Oryctolagus cuniculus: one gene and its partner. Each later gene encodes a partner of the first gene's protein in a complex. Links are inferred from orthologs where the notes say so. Each region holds a gene or a part of one and is shown in the gene's direction. Other genes may lie near its edges.

Region 1 (8,754 bases):
ACCCACCCGGGCTGACACCAGGAGCCAGGATCTCCGACTGGTCTCCCGCGTGGGTGGCAGCGGCCCAAGGACTTGGGCCACCCCTGCTGCCTCCCAGGTGCACTAACGGGAAGCTGGATCAGAAGCAGTCGCTGTGACGTGACCGGTGCTGGGGTGGCAAGCAGCGGCGTGGCTTGCCCGCACGTTTGCCCTGAGGTGTTAGGGTGGCTTTGTCAGGACGTAGGCCCTTCAGCTCGCCGTCTCAGAGCCTCTGACCTGGGCCATCCGGGAAGCTGCGCTCCCCCACGCCCCGGGCATTCCGCCTCTTTCTCGCCCACTTCCTGGCTCCGACGGCTGCCCCCGCCCCCCAGTGTAGAGGAAGCGCACCCCCGGGTCCCCGTCGCACAGCAAGCTGTGGGAAGCACACCGTGAGTGTTCCCATCCTTGAAACTGTCTCCTGTCACCTGAGTGTGACTGACAGCTGACAGGATTGATGGCTCGGTGTGGAATTCCAGACCCGTAAGCTTGGAATCTGACGGCGTCGCTGCACCCCTCCTTCTGACTTCTGGGTGCTCTGCCATCCTTGATCCCTGGGGTCAGGGGTCAGGGGTCACCAGGTTTTCTTATAGCACCAGGTGGAGGCGGGCGGTGTGGCACACAGGTTAGGCGTCTCGGGGTCCCTACGTGTCACCCTGAGTCCCAGATCTAGTTCTGCCAAGGCTCCCAGTCCGGCTTCCTGTGAGTGCAGACCCTGGAGGCAGCAGTGGCGGCTCAGGTACCTGGGTCCCGGCCACCCACGTGGGAGGCCCGCATGCAGTTCTGGGCTCCTGGCTGCTTTGAGCCTTTGTGGAATGAACCAGTAGATGAAGCCCTCTCTACCCCTCCCTCCATCTCTCCAATACAAGGAAAATGAATAAAATTGACGACTTAGCCTATCCTGGCCTCCCTTGGAGCCTTTGGGCAGTTGGTGCCAGGACCCCACCACAGACCCCCAAAGCCATGGACACCCGAGTCCCTTCCGTAAAGGGCTTAGTGTTTCCCAGGAGCTGCACACCTTTCCCTGTGGACGCTGGCATCTCTAGGCGACTTACAGGCCCTAATGCGAATGCTGCTGTACCGTCAGATTGATTTCTTTATTTGAAAGGCAGAGTGACACACAGAGAGGTCTTCCAGCTTTGCCAAATGGCCGAAACAGCCAGAGCTGGGCCAGGCTGCAGCCAGGAGCCAGAGCTCCATCCGGGGCTCCCACGCAGGTGCAGAGCGCTTGGGCCACCTTCCACTGCTTTCCCAGGCCACAGCAGGGGGCTGATCGGAAGTGGACTCAAGTGTCGCCAGCGGCCGCCTGACCTGCTGGGGCCACAGCGATGGCCCCAGTTCTTTTTAATCATTAGAGATTTTTTTCCCTGTAACTAGTCTGGAAATAATCGCAGGTTTTCGAGAGCGGTAGCGGTAGACCACGACCGGGTTGCTGCGGTTCCCGGGGCACCAGCACCCTGCGGTCGACTGGCGCTGAGCACCCGCCGCTCAGCGTGGGGGAACTGCAGGGTGGGTGTTCCCGGCCCGGGGCCCAGCCCACCCGAGGCAGGCACCCCAGGAGCCGTCGCCTCCTGCTCCCCCAGGCGCGGCTGGAGCGGGACTTGAGCAACAAGAAGATCTACCAGGAGGAGGAGCTGCCGGAGTCGGGCGCGGGCAGCGAGTTCAAGCGCAAGCTGCGGGAGGAGGCGCGCCGGAAGAAGTACGGCATCGTGCTCAAGGAGTTCCGGCCCGAGGACCAGCCCTGGCTGCTGCGGGTCAACGGGAAGGCCGGCCGCAAGTGCGTGCGGGAGGGCGCGGGAGGGCGCGGGGCGGGCGGTGGGGCGCGGCGCTGCCCACGCGGGGCGCGCGGGAGGACACGGGGCCGCTTGTGCGTGCGGGAGGGCGCGGGGCGGGCGGTGGGGTGCCGCGTTGTCCACGCGGGGCGCGCGGGAGGACACAGGGAAGCTGGAGCGCAGCGCTGCCCACACGGAGGGGGGGGCGCGGGAGGTCATGGGGCCGCAAAGGGACAAGAAAACGGGTGTTCTTTAGGTGGAGCCAGGGGTCTGGCACCCGCTAATCAGTGACACCTGCAGATGCAGGGACCTGCCCTTCTGCCCTCCCACCCAGCCCTGTGCACTTAGTGGGTGCCCTCCCTGACCCTGCTTCCCACTGCTACCGTGTGGTCTCAGGGCACCTGTGTGACCGGCCCTGGAGGGGCAGAGGGGCAGGCTGAGGAAGGGGGAGCTGGTCGCTCAGGGAGGGGCTGTCAGGGTGTGCCGGGGCGGGCGGTGGGGTGCCGAGTTGTCCACGCGGGGCGTGCAGGAAGACATGGCGCCGCAAGTACGTGCGGGAGGGCGCCAGGTGGGCGGTGGGGCGTGACGCTGCCCACGCGGGGCGCGCGGGAGGACACGGGGGCGCTGGGGCATGGTACTGCCAGTGCGGGGTGTGCGGGAGAATGGAGGACACGGGGGCTCTGCCCGCGCGGGATTGTTCTCGGCACTGCACCGGAAGCCCTGAGCCCCCACGGCCTAGCAGAGCTGCACGGGAAGGGAGATGGCCGGGAGGCAGGTGCACAGGCCTTGGGGGGGCACCCCTGTTCTGACACCCACTTACCAGCCAGCCTCCAGCCAGCACTCCTGGATCCCCTGGGGGTCGGGGGGCTCACTGAGGCGGCCGCCTCCCCTCTACCCTGTCTTTTAAAGGTCCCCCACCTCCCACACGTGATCTTAGGGGACACATTTAACCCACATCCGGCGCAGCAGTGGGGAGTGGGGGTGCCAGCCTGGGGACCTGCCCTTCTCCCCTCCCACCCAGCCCTGTGCACTTAGTGGGTGCCCTCCCTGACCCTGCTTCCCACTGCTACCGTGTGGTCTCAGGGCACCTGTGTGACCGGCCCTGGAGGGGCAGAGGGGCAGGCTGAGGAAGGGGGAACTGGTCGCTCAGGGAGGGGCTGTCAGGGTGTGCCGGGACCTGGGCCCACAGGGCCCTGGGTGGCCGGAGCACACTCAGAGGCGTCCGGGCATGGGGGCGGGACTGGGAGGGTGGGGGCCAGCAGGCACCCCAGAGGAGATGGGGGATGCCGGTGGGGCCGGGTCTGGTGTCCTGGGCCGGGCAGTGACCGAGGCTCCCCGCAGGTTCAAGGGCATCAAGAAGGGTGGCGTGACGGAGAACACGTCCTACTACATCTTCACCCAGTGCCCCGACGGGGCCTTCGAGGCCTTCCCTGTGCACAACTGGTACAACTTCACGCCGCTGGCCCGGCACCGCACGCTCACGGCCGAGGAGGCCGAGGAGGAGTGGGAGAGGTGAGCGGGCCTGGCGGGCCTGGGCGGGCCAGGGTGCACAGCCACACGCATGACCCCGGCTGCAGGCCAGGCCCCGGGCTGGGAGCTGGGATGGGAGGGGGGGGATTGGGGGAGGGCTGACATCAGTCCACCCTCACACGGCTCGTAGTCCAGTGTGGGGCAGCACGGACAGAGCTGATACGCGCAGGGCCGGGGGTGGCCGGGCAGGGTGCTCCAACAGCACGTGCCCCACCCACCCCACCCCGTCTTCCCCAGGCCTGCAGGACCAGCCTGGGGGCTCCCCTCCAGCAGCTTCTGGGAGGGGCCTCTGAGGCCCTGGGGACGGTGGGCATAGTTAGGGGCACGTGGGCTGAGGGACATGGCATCAGGCCAGAGCCCAGAGCACTTTAAATGCCCATCTGAGGATGTGACTTTTTTTTGTAAGATTTACTTATTTGAAAGGGAGAATTAGAGAGGGAAAGACAGAGAGAGATCTTCCATCCTTTGGTTCTCTCCTCAAATGGCCCCAGTGGCTGGGGCTGGGCCAGGCCAAAGCCAGGAGCCAAGAACACCATCTCTGCCACCTGGGTGGCAGAGACCCAAGTCCTTGGGTCCTCTGCTGCCTTCCCAGGAGCATTTGCGGGCAGCTGGATCAGAGGTGGAGCAGCCGGGACTGGAACTGGAGCGTGTGTGTGGCCACAGGGCTGGGCCCCGCCTCCCTGGGGCCTCTGCGGTGACACAGGCCACAGATGCATCTGCAGGTGTCCCCGGCGCCCCCTACTCCATTTCCTGTCCCTGGATCTGACTGCCCCAGGGACCTCCCAGGAGTGCAGTCGGGGAGGTTTGACCTCGTGTCTCCCACTGCGCCCGTTTCAAGGTCCACCCACATGGTAGTGAGTGTCACGGCTTCTCTCTCACCCTGAACGAGTGCCCAAAGACGCAGGGCGGGGAAAGCACCCGCAGCCCCTGTGGGAGCGCCTGGCTCTGAGCCCTGGCCCTGGCTCCCGATGCCGGCTTCCGGCCAATGCACGCCCTGGGGAGCAGCGGCGAGGGCTTAGCAGGCTGGGAGCCACGTGGGAGACCTGCATTGAGTCCTGGGCTGCTGGCTTTGGCCGGGCTTCTTGCAGGCACCTGGGGAGTGACCCAGCGGGTGGCAGCTGTCTCGGCCTCTGAAATAAAGGGAAAGCTTTTTGTTAAAGGCTCCCGTTCATGATATACAAAGACAGACTGGGGGGGGGGGGGGGGCGCTGTGAGTGGACGCTGGGCTGGAGAGGGCTTCAGGGGTAAGGCAGCTCTCCCAGGCGGGGTCAGGGCGCCCCGAGTCCCTGGGGGCGCCCTCGTCACCCAGCAGCCCCTCTGCCCGCAGGAGGAACAAGGTGCTGAACCACTTCAGCATCATGCAGCAGCGGCGGCTCAAGGACCAGGACCAGGACGAGGGCGAGGGCGAGAAGGAGAAAGGCGGCCACAAGAAGGCCAGCGAGCTGCGCATCCACGACCTGGAGGACGACCTGGAGATGTCGTCGGACGACAGCGAGGCCAGCGGCGAGGAGGGTGCGGCTGGGGCGAGGGCTGAGTGGGTGCGGGCGCCCCCAGGAGAGCTTAGCGGTAGCTGGCTGTTGGCCCAGCCAGGGGCAGAACGCGTCCTCCTCCCAGGCTGGACCAGGCTGCAGCCAGGAACCTACCCAGTCACTTAGCAGGCAGTGAGGGCAGGGGCCGGAGCCCGGACTTGAGGCCAGGCAAGCGGACGTGAGATGCGGGCACTCTGGGCCCCGTGGCCGCCCCGGGGTTGGCCAGTTTGAATGAGCCTGGTGGACACCGGGCTCTGGGGGCCGTCCTACTCGTCAGCACGTGGGCCTGGTGCGTGTGCGGGTGTGTGCATCACAGGAAGGGGGCTTGGGTTGTGGGCCCGGCCTGGGCGGTCGCCAGGAGGCGGTGCGCTCCTAGCAGGCCCTCGTCGTCTGGAGGGTGGGTGCAGTGGCCCCCGTCAGCGCATCGTCAACCAGGAAGCCCAGGACGGCCCGTGGCCTGAGCCCTTCCTCCCCCGCCCCCGCCCCCGCAGGCAGCAGAGCCCCCAAGGCCAAGAAGAAGGGGCCGCTGACCAAGGCGGGCAGGAAGAAGAAGAAGAAGAAGGGCTCCGATGACGAGGCCTTCGAGGACAGCGACGACGGGGACTTCGAGGGCCAGGAGGTGGACTACATGTCCGACGGCTCCAGGTGAGCAGGGGAGGCCGGTGACCCCCGCAAGCCCCCACGCCGCTCGCAGACCCGCCCACTCACCCCTGCCGCCGTGTCTTGCAGCAGCTCCCAGGACGAGGCTGAGGGCAAGCCCAAAGTGCCGCAGCCGGAGGAGGGGCCCAAGGGTAGGCGGCGCCCGGGGTGGGGGCGGGAGGGGGGGCGCGCTGGGCGGCCCCCTGCTCACAGCCACCCCTCCCCCAGGGGTCGACGAGCAGAGCGAGAGCAGTGAGGAGAGTGAGGAGGAGAAGCCGCCCGAGGAGGACAGGGAGGAGGAGGAAGAGAAGAAAGCCCCCACCCCACAGGAGAAGAAGCGCCGGAAAGGTGGGGCCCTCCCAGGCCTCCCCCGTGCGCGGTGGGCGGGCGGGCGGCGCGAGCAGGGGTCTCGGGTGCACGAAAGGTGGGGCCCCTCGCAGGCCGCCCCCGTGGGCTGTGGGGCGGGCGCCCGCAGGGGTCTCGCGTGTAGGACAGGTGGGGGCCATCCCAGGCCTCCCCCGTGCGCGGTGGGCGGGCGCGCAGGGGTCCCGCGCCGCTCTGGGCCTGACTCCCGACCACCGGCCCTGCAGACAGCAGCGACGAGTCGGACAGCTCCGAGGACAGCGACATCGACAGCGAGGCCTCCTCTGCCCTCTTCATGGCTGTAAGACGCAGGCGTGGCGGGGGCCGGGGTGGGCCGGGGCTGGGGCGTCTGTGAGCGTTCTCACACCCTGCCCCCGCCCCCGCAGAAGAAGAAGACCCCCCCCAAGAGGGAGCGGAAGCCGTCGGGAGGCAGCTCACGCGGCAACAGCCGCCCCGGCACGCCCAGCACGGAGGGCGGCGGCGCCTCGTCCACGCTGCGGGCGGCGGCCAGCAAGCTGGAGCAAGGTGGGTACCGGGCCGCTCTGCCCGGCCCTGGGTCAGAACCTGCCCTCTCTGGGCCCGGGCCCCACCCGCCCGAGGCTCAGCCCCGACCCCATCCCATCCCACAGGGAAGCGGCCGAGTGAGACGCCGGCGGCCAAGCGCTTGCGGCTCGACGCGGGGCCCCAGAACCTGTCTGGAAAGTCGACCCCCCAGCCGTCCTCGGGGAAGTCCACGCCCAGCGGCGGGTACGTGGGCGAGCGGGGCGGGGGCGGGCAGGGGCGGGGGGCGGTGCGGGGCCGCGGGGACCCGCTCACAGGCGCCCGCCCGCCGCCCCGCAGGGACGTGCAGGTGACGGAGGACGCCGTGCGCCGCTACCTGACGCGGAAGCCCATGACCACCAAGGACCTGCTGAAGAAGTTCCAGACCAAGAAGACGGGGCTGAGCAGCGAGCAGACGGTGAACGTGCTGGCCCAGATCCTGAAGCGGCTCAACCCCGAGCGCAAGCTCATCAGCGACAAGATGCACTTCTCCCTCAAGGAGTGAGGCCGCAATAAACGCGCGCTGGCCTGGCGTGTCGTGTCGTGTCGTGTCGTGTCGTCCCGCTGTGCCGGGGACAGCCTCCGTGCTGGGAGCCAGCCCATCTCCACCCGCGCACCACCCCCATGACCCCTGAGCGCGTCCTTAGTGGAGCGAGTGGTGCTGACTCGGCGCTCTGTCGGCTGCTGTCTGTGCGGTCCGTCTCCCATGCTGCCCCGCGGGCGGGTGTGGGCACCTGCGCAATCTGAATGAAGTTCACAGGCGGGCAGACGGCCTTCGGGACTGTTGATTTATAATGAGATTTGTTTATTTGAAAGGCAGAGTTAGAGCTGCCGTCCGCTCGTTCGTCCCCCAAATGGCTGCAATGGCCGGGAGCCAGGAACGCCACCCGGGTCTCCCACATGGGTGGGGACCCCACGTCCTCAGACCATCTGCTGCCTCCCCAGGCAGAGCGGTTGGGATGCCGGCGCCCTGGCCACGCGGCCCCTGTGACGGGGCCTGGACAGGGCGCCAGGGTCGTCGGGGATGGCCTTGGCTCCCCGCAGCTGCCCAGGGAGCGCCGTCGCCGGACCCCTACCCCCTCTCGCTGCTGGCCTGGGCTTTTGAGCGCTTCTTTCTACCCAGGGAGCTCTCCGGGGTCCCGATTTTCTGCCCCTGTGGTGGTTTTCTCAGGCAGGCATCACCACGGGCTCTGGCCAGGGGGATGGGACGGTCAGAGCGCTGGGCTGATACCATGGCCGGAAACGGGATTTGGCTGCAGCCGCTGCTGCTGAGCCTGGTTCCCGGTGACCCGGCCCGGGTGGGGAACGCAGGTGGAAAAGTCCCTGCCCAGCGAATGCCGGAGATGCCAGGCTAATTCCCAGGAATGTCCCCGTCCCGCCAGGCCTCTGTGCGCTGCCAGGAAGCGGCTCTCGCTGGCCCTGCCACGTGGACCGCGGTGTGACCCCGTGGCTAGGAGCGGGAGCCTGGGTCCCAGCCCCAGGCCTGTTTCCCTTGTGTGCGCCTGTCTCATTGGGGTACAGGACACGAGCCACCGTGGGGTGCGCCCTACGCCGGTCTCTGGTCCTGACTGGCACCTGACATGGCATTTCTTTTATTTGAACGTCGCTGAGGTTCTGTACTAAGATCCGCTGCGTCGTGGCGCGTGCCCCGGGATGGAGGTGGCCGCCGGCTCCCCGGTCATACAGCACAGCCAGCACCCCGGGAATCTCTTCTGGAGGTTGGCTTGGGTGGGGGTAGAGGGATGCGATTCCCAATCTACTGTTTACCGGTTTGAAAGGCACACACAAATGCCTCCAACAACCAGGGTTGGCCCAGGACGGAATCAGGGGCTCCATCCGGGGCTCCCACGTTGGGGGCGGGGCCCAGGCACTTGAGCCCTCACTGCTGCCTCCCAGGGTGCGCATGCGCAGGGAGCTGGCATTGGGAGGGGCGCCCAGACTCAAATCCAGCACTCTAGGTGGATGTGGCTGTCCCCAGCCATGTCTTAACCGCTAGCCCTGCACCTGCTCCTACCTCACCTGCCCTTTTTGGGTGGGCTGTAGCCCCTCTTCTGGTGGGTAGCAAACAAGCCACCTGCATTCCTTTGTGTCAAAAGCACCCAGCAGCCCCTCGGGGCTGGGTCTGCATGAGCACCGGTGGCCACGCAGGCCCGGGCGTGGAAGCCGCCAGAGTCCACGTTGCTGCTGCCTGTCGTGCTAGGTTCCTCCGGAAGCTCCCCTCGGGCCCTGAAGCTCCTGGACCCCAGGACCGGGCTGTGGTCAGGACGTGGGGCTCAGCTTGCCTTCCAGACAGGAGTCCTGGCCCCCACGACCCAGGGCCTCTCCCTTTTCCTGTTTTGACAGCGGCTTTGCCAGGCCCGGAGACA
Region 2 (9,582 bases), on another chromosome or scaffold:
AGGGATGGAGAGTTGTTCTGGTTCACTCCCCAAATGCCCACTCCAGCCCGGGCTTGACCAGGCTGAAACCAGGAGCCTGGTACTCCATCTGGGTCTCTCACATGGGAGGCAGGGGCCCAAGCACTTGGGCCGTCCCACATGAGATGCCGGCACTGCAGGTGGTGGCTTTATCCACCGCACCACCGCCCAGCTCCCGCTAAATACAATTTTAAGAAACAGGATGCCACAGGGTCAGCACTGTGGCACAGCAGGTAAAGCCTCCGTCTGCAACACCCCAGAGGGGCACCGGTTCGAGTCCTGGCTGCTCCACTTCCAATCCAGCTTCCTGCTAATGGCTGGGCTCAGCCCTGGCTGTTGCGGATGTCTGTGGAGTGAACCAGCAGATGGAAGATCTTTCTCTGTAACTCTCCCTTTGCGCTAAATAAACACACAAACCTTAGAAGGAAAGGAAAGGAAAAAGGCAGGAAGAAAAGAAAGAGCAAGAAGGAAGAGGCCGGGCTCCATCTGTGCACCTCTGGGTGGGCTCGGCCCCGGGGTGTTTAAGGCCAGGGGTCCCTCACTCCCGGGGCTGGCACTGAGTGAGCGCTTCCTTGTTCCTCCTCCAGTCTCCAGGGCTCATCTGGTCCCTGCACAGGCTTTGGCTCTCCCTCCGCCCCACCAGATGCACCTGCTCCCCTGGGAGTGCGGCCCTGGTCGCTTTGCCATCGCCTCCTCTCCTTGATGGCCTGGCCTAGCGCACTGCACCCCCACCCCCATCCCCTTGTCTAGTGACCTCATTGTCCACCTAAGGGCTGCGTCCACCTGCCCCCCGCCTCCCCTCCCTGCCATGTCCATGAGACCCTGTTCCAGCTCCCCTCCACGTATAACCCCTGCAGGATTCGGGTTGCTGTGTTGATCCTGTGTGGCTGAGGTTGGAACCCACGCCACCTGGTCGCCCCGCCCCCGCCCCTCTGCCGGTCCCCTTTCACAGTGGGCCCAGCTCCGACCCCCGGAGCTGCTCCCTCCTCACTGCCCCCACTCAGCCTCCCTGGATCGGCTTCTAAAACCTAACAGATAATTTTCCTCCCTTGCATAGAACCCCAGCGGCTTCCCACACGTGTGAAACCCAGAGGCAGTGCCCTGGCCGGCTGCCTCTCGGCCTCGTCTCCGGCCTCCCTCCTCCCATGGGCCGAGCCTGCTGCAGAGACCCCTCTGCTGTCTCGCCGCACGGTGGCCGTGCCACCCCAGGCCTTTTGCACTTGACAGAGACGCATTGCTCAGCCCTCCCCGGCTTCTGTGCCCCTCAGCTGTTTGCTCATTTCCTGCCTGTCGCTTGACCACGCTGAGCTGGTGCCCACTTCTGGAACGCCAGGGCTGCTCACAGGTCCTGGCGTGCGTGGCCCAGGCCCTCAGCAGATGCCGGACAAGCGAAAGGCAGATGTGAGGCTGGACAGGGTCTCGCGGAGGGTGCCGCAGGGGAGGGGGGCAGCATGGAGGGAGGGTGGCCACTCGGTGTCCCGGAAGCTGCAGGGCCTGGTCCCCTGGGGCCAGGAGGGCAGCACAGAGGGGCACAGCCCTCCCAGAGCAGATGAGGGAGACAGCGAGGGCTGAGCCAGGAGAAACCCTGGACAAGGAGCCCGGAGCCCCGCTGGGCACGGCCGTGCATCCTTGCTGTGTGAACCCCATTAGGAACGGTGCTTGAAATACCACTGGCTCCTATCGCTGTGGGTTTGAGCCCATTAGCAAGGGGCCTTCTGGTCGACCCCCGCCCCCCAGGGCTACCCGCGGCCTCTCTGGGTCACCTGCAGCCCTGGCGGAGTGCGGGGGGCGGGGGTTGCGGCTGCTGGCCCTCACTCTGTCCTGTCCCACAGGGAGAAGTGTCGGGAGCTGACTGGCCCTGGGGAAGGTAGGTCCCTCGGCCCAAGCCCCGCACCCCTTGTGGACGGGGGTCCTCAGACCTAGAGGCCATGCCCGCCCTCATGGCCCCTCCGCTTGCAGCCCCTGAGGGCTCCCTGGCCCGGCTGCTGCGGATCCTGCAGGACCTGCGCGAGGCCCACGGCGCCCTCCCAGCCAGCACCCCGCCCGCCGAGCCCAGCCGCCTGCTGGCAGTGCAGACCTGTGGCCTGCCCCACCGTCCTGCCCGGTGCCGTGTTCTCGGGCCCTCCGCCTGGTCCCTGGCGTGCAGGAGCCAGAGATGAGAAGCCCTGGAAGTTGGGAGCCGGCGGGGCTTTGCACAGCATGGCCGACCTCACGGCTCCGGGGGTCTGGGTCTTTGCCGCCCCGGGCCAGGCTCTCCAGGGACACCCCTCCCCCTGCCTTGCCAAGGGCAAGTCCAGCCCAAAGCCACCGTTGGAGGGTCCCCACCCCACCCCTGCCCAGGTGGGCTGCTCTCCCAGACCCCGGAGACCAGGCCTCCACCTGAGTGCCCCCTGGTTCCCAGCCCCCAGCCCCACGCTCCCCTCACTGCCTGGCCCTGTGCTGAGGGTCGCAGTGTTCTGTTGCCGACAATAAACCTGCCGTGACAGACGAGGCTCTGGGCTCTTGGGATGGGGGTCCAGGGAGAGGACCCCGAGGTTGCTGGCCCAAGGACGGTGCCACCCCCTCACTTGGGATCGGGGTTCCTTTCTCTACCTGGCTGCTGTCCCCACTGCATTCCTGGGCCCCACCCCTACCCCTCACAGGCCACAGAGGCCCGTGGGCCTTCCAGCTGCTGTCTGCACCCAAGCCCCCGGCCCCAAGATGCAGGAGCACCCCTCCCCACCACCATGCACACGCAGGCGGCACCTGCCCGGGCTGATGCCCAGCGTGCTGGCTGGGCCATGTCTGCTCCCGCTGCCAGGGTGGGCACCAGCTGTGTCCACAGTGACTCAGCTCAAGGCACCACCCCCAGGGCCTTCAGCACCCCCCCCCCCGACCGGCCCCAGCCCATCCCTGAGCCCTGGGGTTTGTCTAGTGCCCTCATCACCAGGGGTCCCCACGCTGGTCCCACTGTCAGCCAGAGTGGAGTCCAGTCCATGGCCCACATCCTGGGAGCTGGCCTGCCTGCCCTTGGTCGGTTCCTCTGGGGCTTTGCCAGCGCCTCCTCCCCCACCAGGCCCTGCCCCCTGCCCACCTGGAGCCCCCACGGCCTCCTGGGGCAGGATGACGTCACTGGGTCACACAGCAGGTGTCCCTCACCCCATGGTGCCCAGGCTACACCCTGCGCCCACCCCGCGATGACCAGCAGAGGGCCACTGCCTGCTGTACAGTCAGCCCGAGTGCAGGGTGGGTGGGGGCTTTGCGCCTCCCGGCGGGGCTCAGCCAGCCGGCTCCCTCACCCCAACACCCCCTTTCCCTGCCCCACCCCGCCCCCTGTGCTCACAGCCTTCAGCCTCCCTCCCAGAGCAGCACGGAGAACACAGTGCATCCATCCATCCATCCATTCCTCACCTGTTAGCCCATGTGCATCTCTCTTTTTTAAATAAAGATTTATTTATTTGAAAGTTGGAGTTAGAAGGAGAGACGGAGCGCATTTGCTGGTTCACGCCCCAGATGGCCGCAACAGGACGAAGCCAGGACCCAGGAGCCTCATCCGGGTCTCCCACATGGGTGCAGGGGCCCCAGCACTTGGGCCATCTACTACTGCTTTCCCAGGTGCATTAGCAGGGAGCTGGATTGGAAGTGGAGCAGCCGGGACACGAGCCGGCGACCATACGGGATGCCGGGGCCCAGGCCACTGTGTAGTTGTGCCCCTCGCCCAGCTATTCCAGGCTGTGGTCACACCATCCCCTCGTGGGGCACCCCACATGGACCTGCAGAAGAGTCTGGGGGTGTGCCGCTCCGGCGAGTGGGGTCAGCACTCCCCCAGGAGAGCAGCCGTCCATGGTGGTGGCCAGGATGGTGGGGGGGAATCCCCTGCTCTGGACCCTGGCCAGGCGTCACCTCCAGGTCTCCGTAGGGCAGCGTCCTAAAGTCTTCAGGATGAGCCGAGAGGGCGTGGCTCATTACCCACGGGCCCCGGGCAGAGCGGCAGTTCCCAGGTACTAAGTCCCCCCCTCCGCCCCCGCGCAGGGAGATGCGATTCCCGTGGGGGCTCCAGGCTGCAACCAGGGTCCCTGTGGTTGCTCTGAGCCCCCAGTCCCTGTTGGCCGAACAGCTCCGGGAGGGCCTTCGGCACCAATCAGGAGCTCAAGGCGGGGTGGTGCACCTGTATCCCTCCACCCCCCTGTCACACCTGTCGCACTTGCTCCTCCCAGCGCTCACCCAGCTGCCCCCGCCAACAAGACGCCGGTGACCAGGGCCTCGTGGCTGTTGGCCAGGTGCCTTGGAGGGGCCGTCCACGCCTATCACTCTGACCACAAGACTTTCCTCGACCCCCAGCCACGGCCTCCTACTACCCCATGGCTCTGTATCTGTGCCGGGGCCTGCTGCGGTGCATTCCAAGGCACATTTCCAAAGAAGAGATCAAGAAGCATGGACAGCGGAGACAGGCGTAGCTCCGGCTTCCCGCTTCGCCGGGACCCAGCGGGCAGCGCAACGCTCCGACTGCCTGCACCCCCAGAGCCGCGCCCCCTGGCCCAGGCGTGGAGCGCGGCGGGGGCGTGGCCTCCGGGCTGACGCACGCGCAGAGCGCATCGGGGAAAATTTTTCTCACGCCTGCGCTAGCTCCTCCCCGCCGCTAGGGGGCAGTGAGCCGGTCCTGGCGCGGTAGGCGCCGCCGGCGTGACCCGGAAGCAGTCGCGCGGTCGGGTTTGGAGGCGGTGGCGGCGGCCGTTTAGTCGCCGGCGGGCCGCGGTGCCAGGATGAACGCACCTCCGGCCTTCGAGTCGTTTCTGCTCTTCGAGGGAGAGAAGAAGTAAGTGGAGCCCGGCGGGGCGGCGGAGGGTCGGGCCGAGGCCCGCAGCTCCTGCGTGTCCTGCGGGCTCGGGGGTCGGAAGTGTTCGAGTGTCCGAGCGGCCTGGGTCCGCCCAGGGGGGCAGTGCCCTGGGCACGCCGGCACTTGCGGGGACTTGCAAAGTGTCCTGCTGCAGAGTGCTGTGGTTCCGCGGGGCCCCGGCAGGCGTCCCTGTGGCGTCCGGCCGGCCACCCGCGTCCTCCCTCCACGCGGCGGCCTGCGCGAGGGCTCCGGAGCTCGGGTCCGCCCTGTCGGGGCCCGCGGTCTGGCGGCCACACATCTGGGCCGGGCTCCCGGGTCGCCCGCCTGCCCGCCCTGTGGTCCTCGGACGCGTGGCTTGGCCGGGCGCCCGTGGGAGCGCGCGGACCGTGGCTTTGGGGTTGCGCGTGGGAAGGAGTGTTTGTGGCTTGGCCAAACCGAGGGGCGCAGGCGTTGCGGGTCTCGCTCGTGGGGAAGTCGCTTGGGGAGGGTTTCGCGCGCGTCTAGGAAGCTGTGGCGTGGATTGCGTGCGTTCCGTGGTCAGCCGCGGGTGGAGCTTGAACGAGGAGGAGGGTGTTCGGGGGCTGCGCCGAGGGCGCAGGTGCGCGGTTGGGGCCTGCGGCTTCGTGATGAGAGGTGGTAGCCGCTGAGTGTGCCCTGTTTGTCCCATCAGCTGCCCCTGGCTTGGCTCCGGGAACGCCTGGTCATCCTAAGAGGCGGTGGTGTGGGCTGGGTCTGGCCGAGGCGCACTGTGCGCACCTGGAAAAATGGGCTGCTTGCACGCGCGCTGTGGTTAAGCACAGGGAGAGGTTAAGTGGGTTCTCGCGGGGGCAATGCCTTCCGAGTCTGAGCAGCCTAGGGTGCGGGGGCTGGGGTGCGACCCTTGTCGGCCGCTCGAGCCTCCCTGGGCACAGACTAGCAACCAGGGGAGCAGGCGTGGTGGTCCCGGGCGCCCCGGGCGCCGTGCAGCCCCCAGGGCGGGCCTGTGGCGCGGGGGGAGTGCCTGCTCCCGCCCTGGCTGCTCCACCTCCCAGGAAGCCGCAGGTGATGGCCCAGGGAGACCTGGCTCTCTCGTGGGCTCCTAGCTTCAGCGTCTCCCTAGCCCCAGCTGTGGCGGGCATCTGTGGAGTGAACCAGCGGAGAGAAGACCTGTGTGCGTCCCTCTCTGTGCCTCTCTTTCTTTCTCCTTTTTTTTTTTCTTTAAGTTTATCTGAGAGGCAGAGTTAGGTCTTATCTAGGTGGCCGCAACAGCTGGAGCTGAGCCGATCTGAAGCCAGGAGCCAGGAGCTCCTTCCAGGTCTCCCATGGGGGTGCAGGAGCCCAAGCATTGGGGCCGTCCTCCGCTGCTTTCCCAGGCGCATTAGCAGGGAGTTGGATTGGAAGTGGAGCAGCTGGGACTCGAACTGGCGCCCATGTGGGATGCGGGCACTGCAGGTGGCTTTACCTGTGCCACAGCAACGTGTTTATGAAGCACCCATTACCATCACAGGTGCTCACGCTGTGGCTTCTGGTATGAACGTGTTTTTAGTTTACACAGCGCCTTTTTTTTTTTTTTTTTTGACAGGCAGAGTGGACAGTGAGAGAGACAGAGAGAAAGGTCTTCCTTTGCCGTTGGTTCACCCTCCAATGGCTGCCGCGGCCGGCGCGCTGCGGCCGGCGCACCGCGCTGATCCGATGGCAGGAGCCAGGTGCTTTTCCTGGTCTCACATGGGGTGCAGGGCCCAAGCACTTGGGCCATCCTCCACTGCACTCCCTGGCCACAGCAGAGAGCTGGCCTGGAAGAGGGGCAACCGGGACAGAATCCGGCGCCCCAACCGGGACTAGAACCCGGTGTGCCGGCGCTGCTAGGCGGAGGATTAGCCTAGTGAGCCGCGGCGCCGGCCTACACAGCGCCTTTTGTATTTCCTTTCCCATGGACTTTTTAATTTGAAAGACCGAGAGGGAGGGAGGGAGGGAGAGAGGTCTTCCATCTGCTGGGTCACTCCCCAAATGGCCCCAATGGCCCGGGCTGGGCTGATCTGAAGCCAGGAGCCTCACGGGTGCAGGAGCGCTAGCACTTGGGCCATCTTCCACTGCTTTCCCATGCCCCAGCTGAGAGCTGGATGGAAGTGGAGCAGCCGGGACTTGAACCCACTGCACCACAGCACCAGCTCCCATGGACTCTTCCGCTGCTTTAAAATTTTTATTTTTTTAAAGATTTATTTATTTACTTGAGAGAGGAGAGGCAGAGAGAGATCTTCCATCTGCTGGTTCACTCCCCAGTTGGCTGTAATGGCCAGAATCGCACCAGTCCGAAGCCAGGAGCTTCCTCCGGGTCTCCCATGTGGGTGCAGGGGCCCAAGCACTTGGGCCACCTTCTACTGCTTTCCCAGGCCATAGCAGAGAGCTGGATTGGAAGTGGAGCAGCCGGGACTCGAACCATATGGGATGCTGACACTACAGGTGCTGGCCCCTTAACATTTTTAATTGACACATAATACTTGCACATTTTTAAAAACGTTTATTTGAAAGTCAGGGTCACACAGAGAGGGAGGGAGGGAGAGGGGTCTTCCATCCTATGGTTTATGCCCCAGATGGTTGCAATGGCCAGAGCTGCGCCGATCTGAAGCCAGGAGCCAGGAGCTTCTTCTGGGTCTCCCATACGGGTGCAGGGGCCCAAGGACCGGGCCATCTTCTACTGCTTTCCCAGGCCATAGCAGAGAGCTGGATCGGAAGTGGGGTAGCCGGGTCTCGAACCAGCACCCAAATGGGATGCTGGCGCTTCAGGCCAGAGCGTTAACCCACAGCTCCGGCCCCTACTTGAGCACATATTTAAAAACATTTGAGGGGTAGAATACAGAGAGGGAAAGAGAGCGAGCACTTGGGCCATCTTCCAGGGCTTTCCCAGGCCACAGCAGGGAGCTGGATTAGAAGTGGAGCAGCTGGGACCTGAACTTGGGCCTGTATGGGATGCCGGTGCTGCGGGTGGAGGTTCAGCCTCCTATGCTGCAGCACTGCCCCAACACCAGACCAAAAAAAGGTTTAAAAAAGCAGTTTTAAAAATATTTTCCGGCTGGCGCAGCTCACTAGGCTAATCCTCCGCCTTGCAGCGCCGGCACACCGGGTTCTAGTCCCGGTCGGGGCACCAGATTCTGTCCCGGTTGTCCCTCTTCCAGTCCAGCTCTCTGCTATGGCCCAGGAGTGCAGTGGAGGATGGGCCAAGTGCTTGGGCCCTGCACCCCATGGGAGGCCAGGAGAAGTACCTGGCTCCTGCCATTGGATCAGCGTGGTGCGCTGGCCACAGCGGCCACTGGGGGGTGAACCAACGGCAAAAATTCTCACTGTCCACTCTGTCAAAAACAAACAAAAAAAACACCCTTCTCCTACAAGGAGAGCTTCATCAGGGCTGAAGCACAGGTAGTGCTGGGGTTGAGTATTCTGCTTTGGAAGGCGCCTTGTGGGGTGGGTGGCCAGGGTCGGGGGGGGGGCAGACACGCCGCTGGGAGCCCACCGCAGAGGGGGTGGGAGCCGTGGGTGCCCTGGGGGGCAGGAGGCCCTGCCCCAGCCTCACCTCCGCCTCCTCCCAGGATCACCATCAACAAGGACACCAAGGTCCCCAACGCGTGCCTGTTCACCATCAACAAGGAGGACCACACGCTCGGGAACATCATTAAATCGTAAGTGCCCGGCCAGGGGCCCACGCGCGGGCTGGCCTTGCCCTCAGGGCTACCCGCTCGGGGGCGCTGCCTGTTCCGGTGGCAGCCCAGGCACTGCCCCTCGCGTGGGTTCGAGGCCCTGGCGCTGCCCCGCAGGGCACTTAGCAGCCTCTCGGCCCCGCCCGTGACGCGGCTCATCCCTGGTCGTCAGATGACACTGACCCTTACATGCACCCCACCCCTTGTCTATCCCGGGCCAGCAGGCCCCCCTCCTCCCCTGTGACAGACTCTCACGTCGAGGGGAGGTGGCAGAGGCACGGTGTGGTTGTCCAGGGTCCCCGTGTCCCAGCCAAGTAGGCAGCCAGGGCTGTGACCGCCCCTCCCCTGCAGGTGGCGCCAGCAAGGCGGGCCCGTCCCAGCTTGTGTCAGAGGCTGGGGGCAGGAGTCTGGGCAGTGCCCCCCCTGAGCGAGCCCATGGTGTGTCCTCGCGTGCCCAGGGCCCAGGCCTCTCCCGCCGCCGCTTGGGCCGGTGTCTGTGTTAACGCTGCGGGGCACGCACGGCACCTCCTCTTCCAAGTGTCTTCCCGGTAGGGGAACACCCTGGGCCACACAGCTGGCACAGGCGCCGCCTGGGAGCCCTCAGCGCGCCCTCTCTCCCGCCCCAGGCAGCTGCTCAAGGACCCGCAGGTGCTGTTTGCTGGCTATAAAGTCCCCCACCCCCTGGAGCACAAGATCATCATCCGCGTGCAGACCACCCCCGACTACAGCCCGCAGGAGGCCTTCACCAACGCCATCACCGACCTCATCAGCGAGCTCTCGCTGCTGGAGGAGCGCTTCCGGGTGAGGCGGGGCCCCAGCAGTCCCTGGGACGTGTGCCCTACCAGGCCGGGGGCGGCCTGCTGCCCCTCAGGGCTGCTTCCAGGCATCTGTCTGGGTCACACCAGCCCACGGCAGGGCCCGAGTCTAGGACAGCATAGACTGGGAGCAGCAGCAGGTGTGGGGACGGCTCTCCTGTGGGGCGCCAGGCGGGGGCCGCCCAATACCTGCCCTCTTCCTCCCCACAGGTGGCCATCAAGGACAAGCAGGAGGGCATCGAGTAGCGGCTGGAGGAGCTGC

The links.
Region 2: GTF2F1 (region 1) and POLR2J share a complex: the UniProt entries of both Homo sapiens proteins name them as parts of the TBP-based Pol II pre-initiation complex. The link is inferred for Oryctolagus cuniculus from reciprocal best matches to the Homo sapiens genes GTF2F1 and POLR2J.

The regions. Positions count from the first base shown.
Region 1 is NC_091447.1:60,701,805-60,710,558, reverse strand, and holds the end of GTF2F1 (general transcription factor IIF subunit 1), read left to right. Parts: intron 1-1,598; coding exon 1,599-1,792; intron 1,793-3,128; coding exon 3,129-3,299; intron 3,300-4,644; coding exon 4,645-4,829; intron 4,830-5,337; coding exon 5,338-5,491; intron 5,492-5,575; coding exon 5,576-5,637; intron 5,638-5,713; coding exon 5,714-5,833; intron 5,834-6,075; coding exon 6,076-6,149; intron 6,150-6,234; coding exon 6,235-6,373; intron 6,374-6,477; coding exon 6,478-6,595; intron 6,596-6,688; coding exon 6,689-6,893; 3' UTR 6,894-6,920; downstream 6,921-8,754. UniProt on the Homo sapiens protein: TFIIF is a general transcription initiation factor that binds to RNA polymerase II and helps to recruit it to the initiation complex in collaboration with TFIIB. It promotes transcription elongation.
Region 2 is NC_091450.1:44,082,144-44,091,725, reverse strand, and holds the start of POLR2J (DNA-directed RNA polymerase II subunit RPB11-a), read left to right. Parts: upstream 1-4,657; 5' UTR 4,658-4,760; coding exon 4,761-4,813; intron 4,814-8,397; coding exon 8,398-8,487; intron 8,488-9,131; coding exon 9,132-9,306; intron 9,307-9,530; coding exon 9,531-9,566; 3' UTR 9,567-9,582. Other genes in the region: ras GTPase-activating protein 4, read left to right, coding at 1,851-1,885, 1,978-2,177. UniProt on the Homo sapiens protein: Core component of RNA polymerase II (Pol II), a DNA-dependent RNA polymerase which synthesizes mRNA precursors and many functional non-coding RNAs using the four ribonucleoside triphosphates as substrates.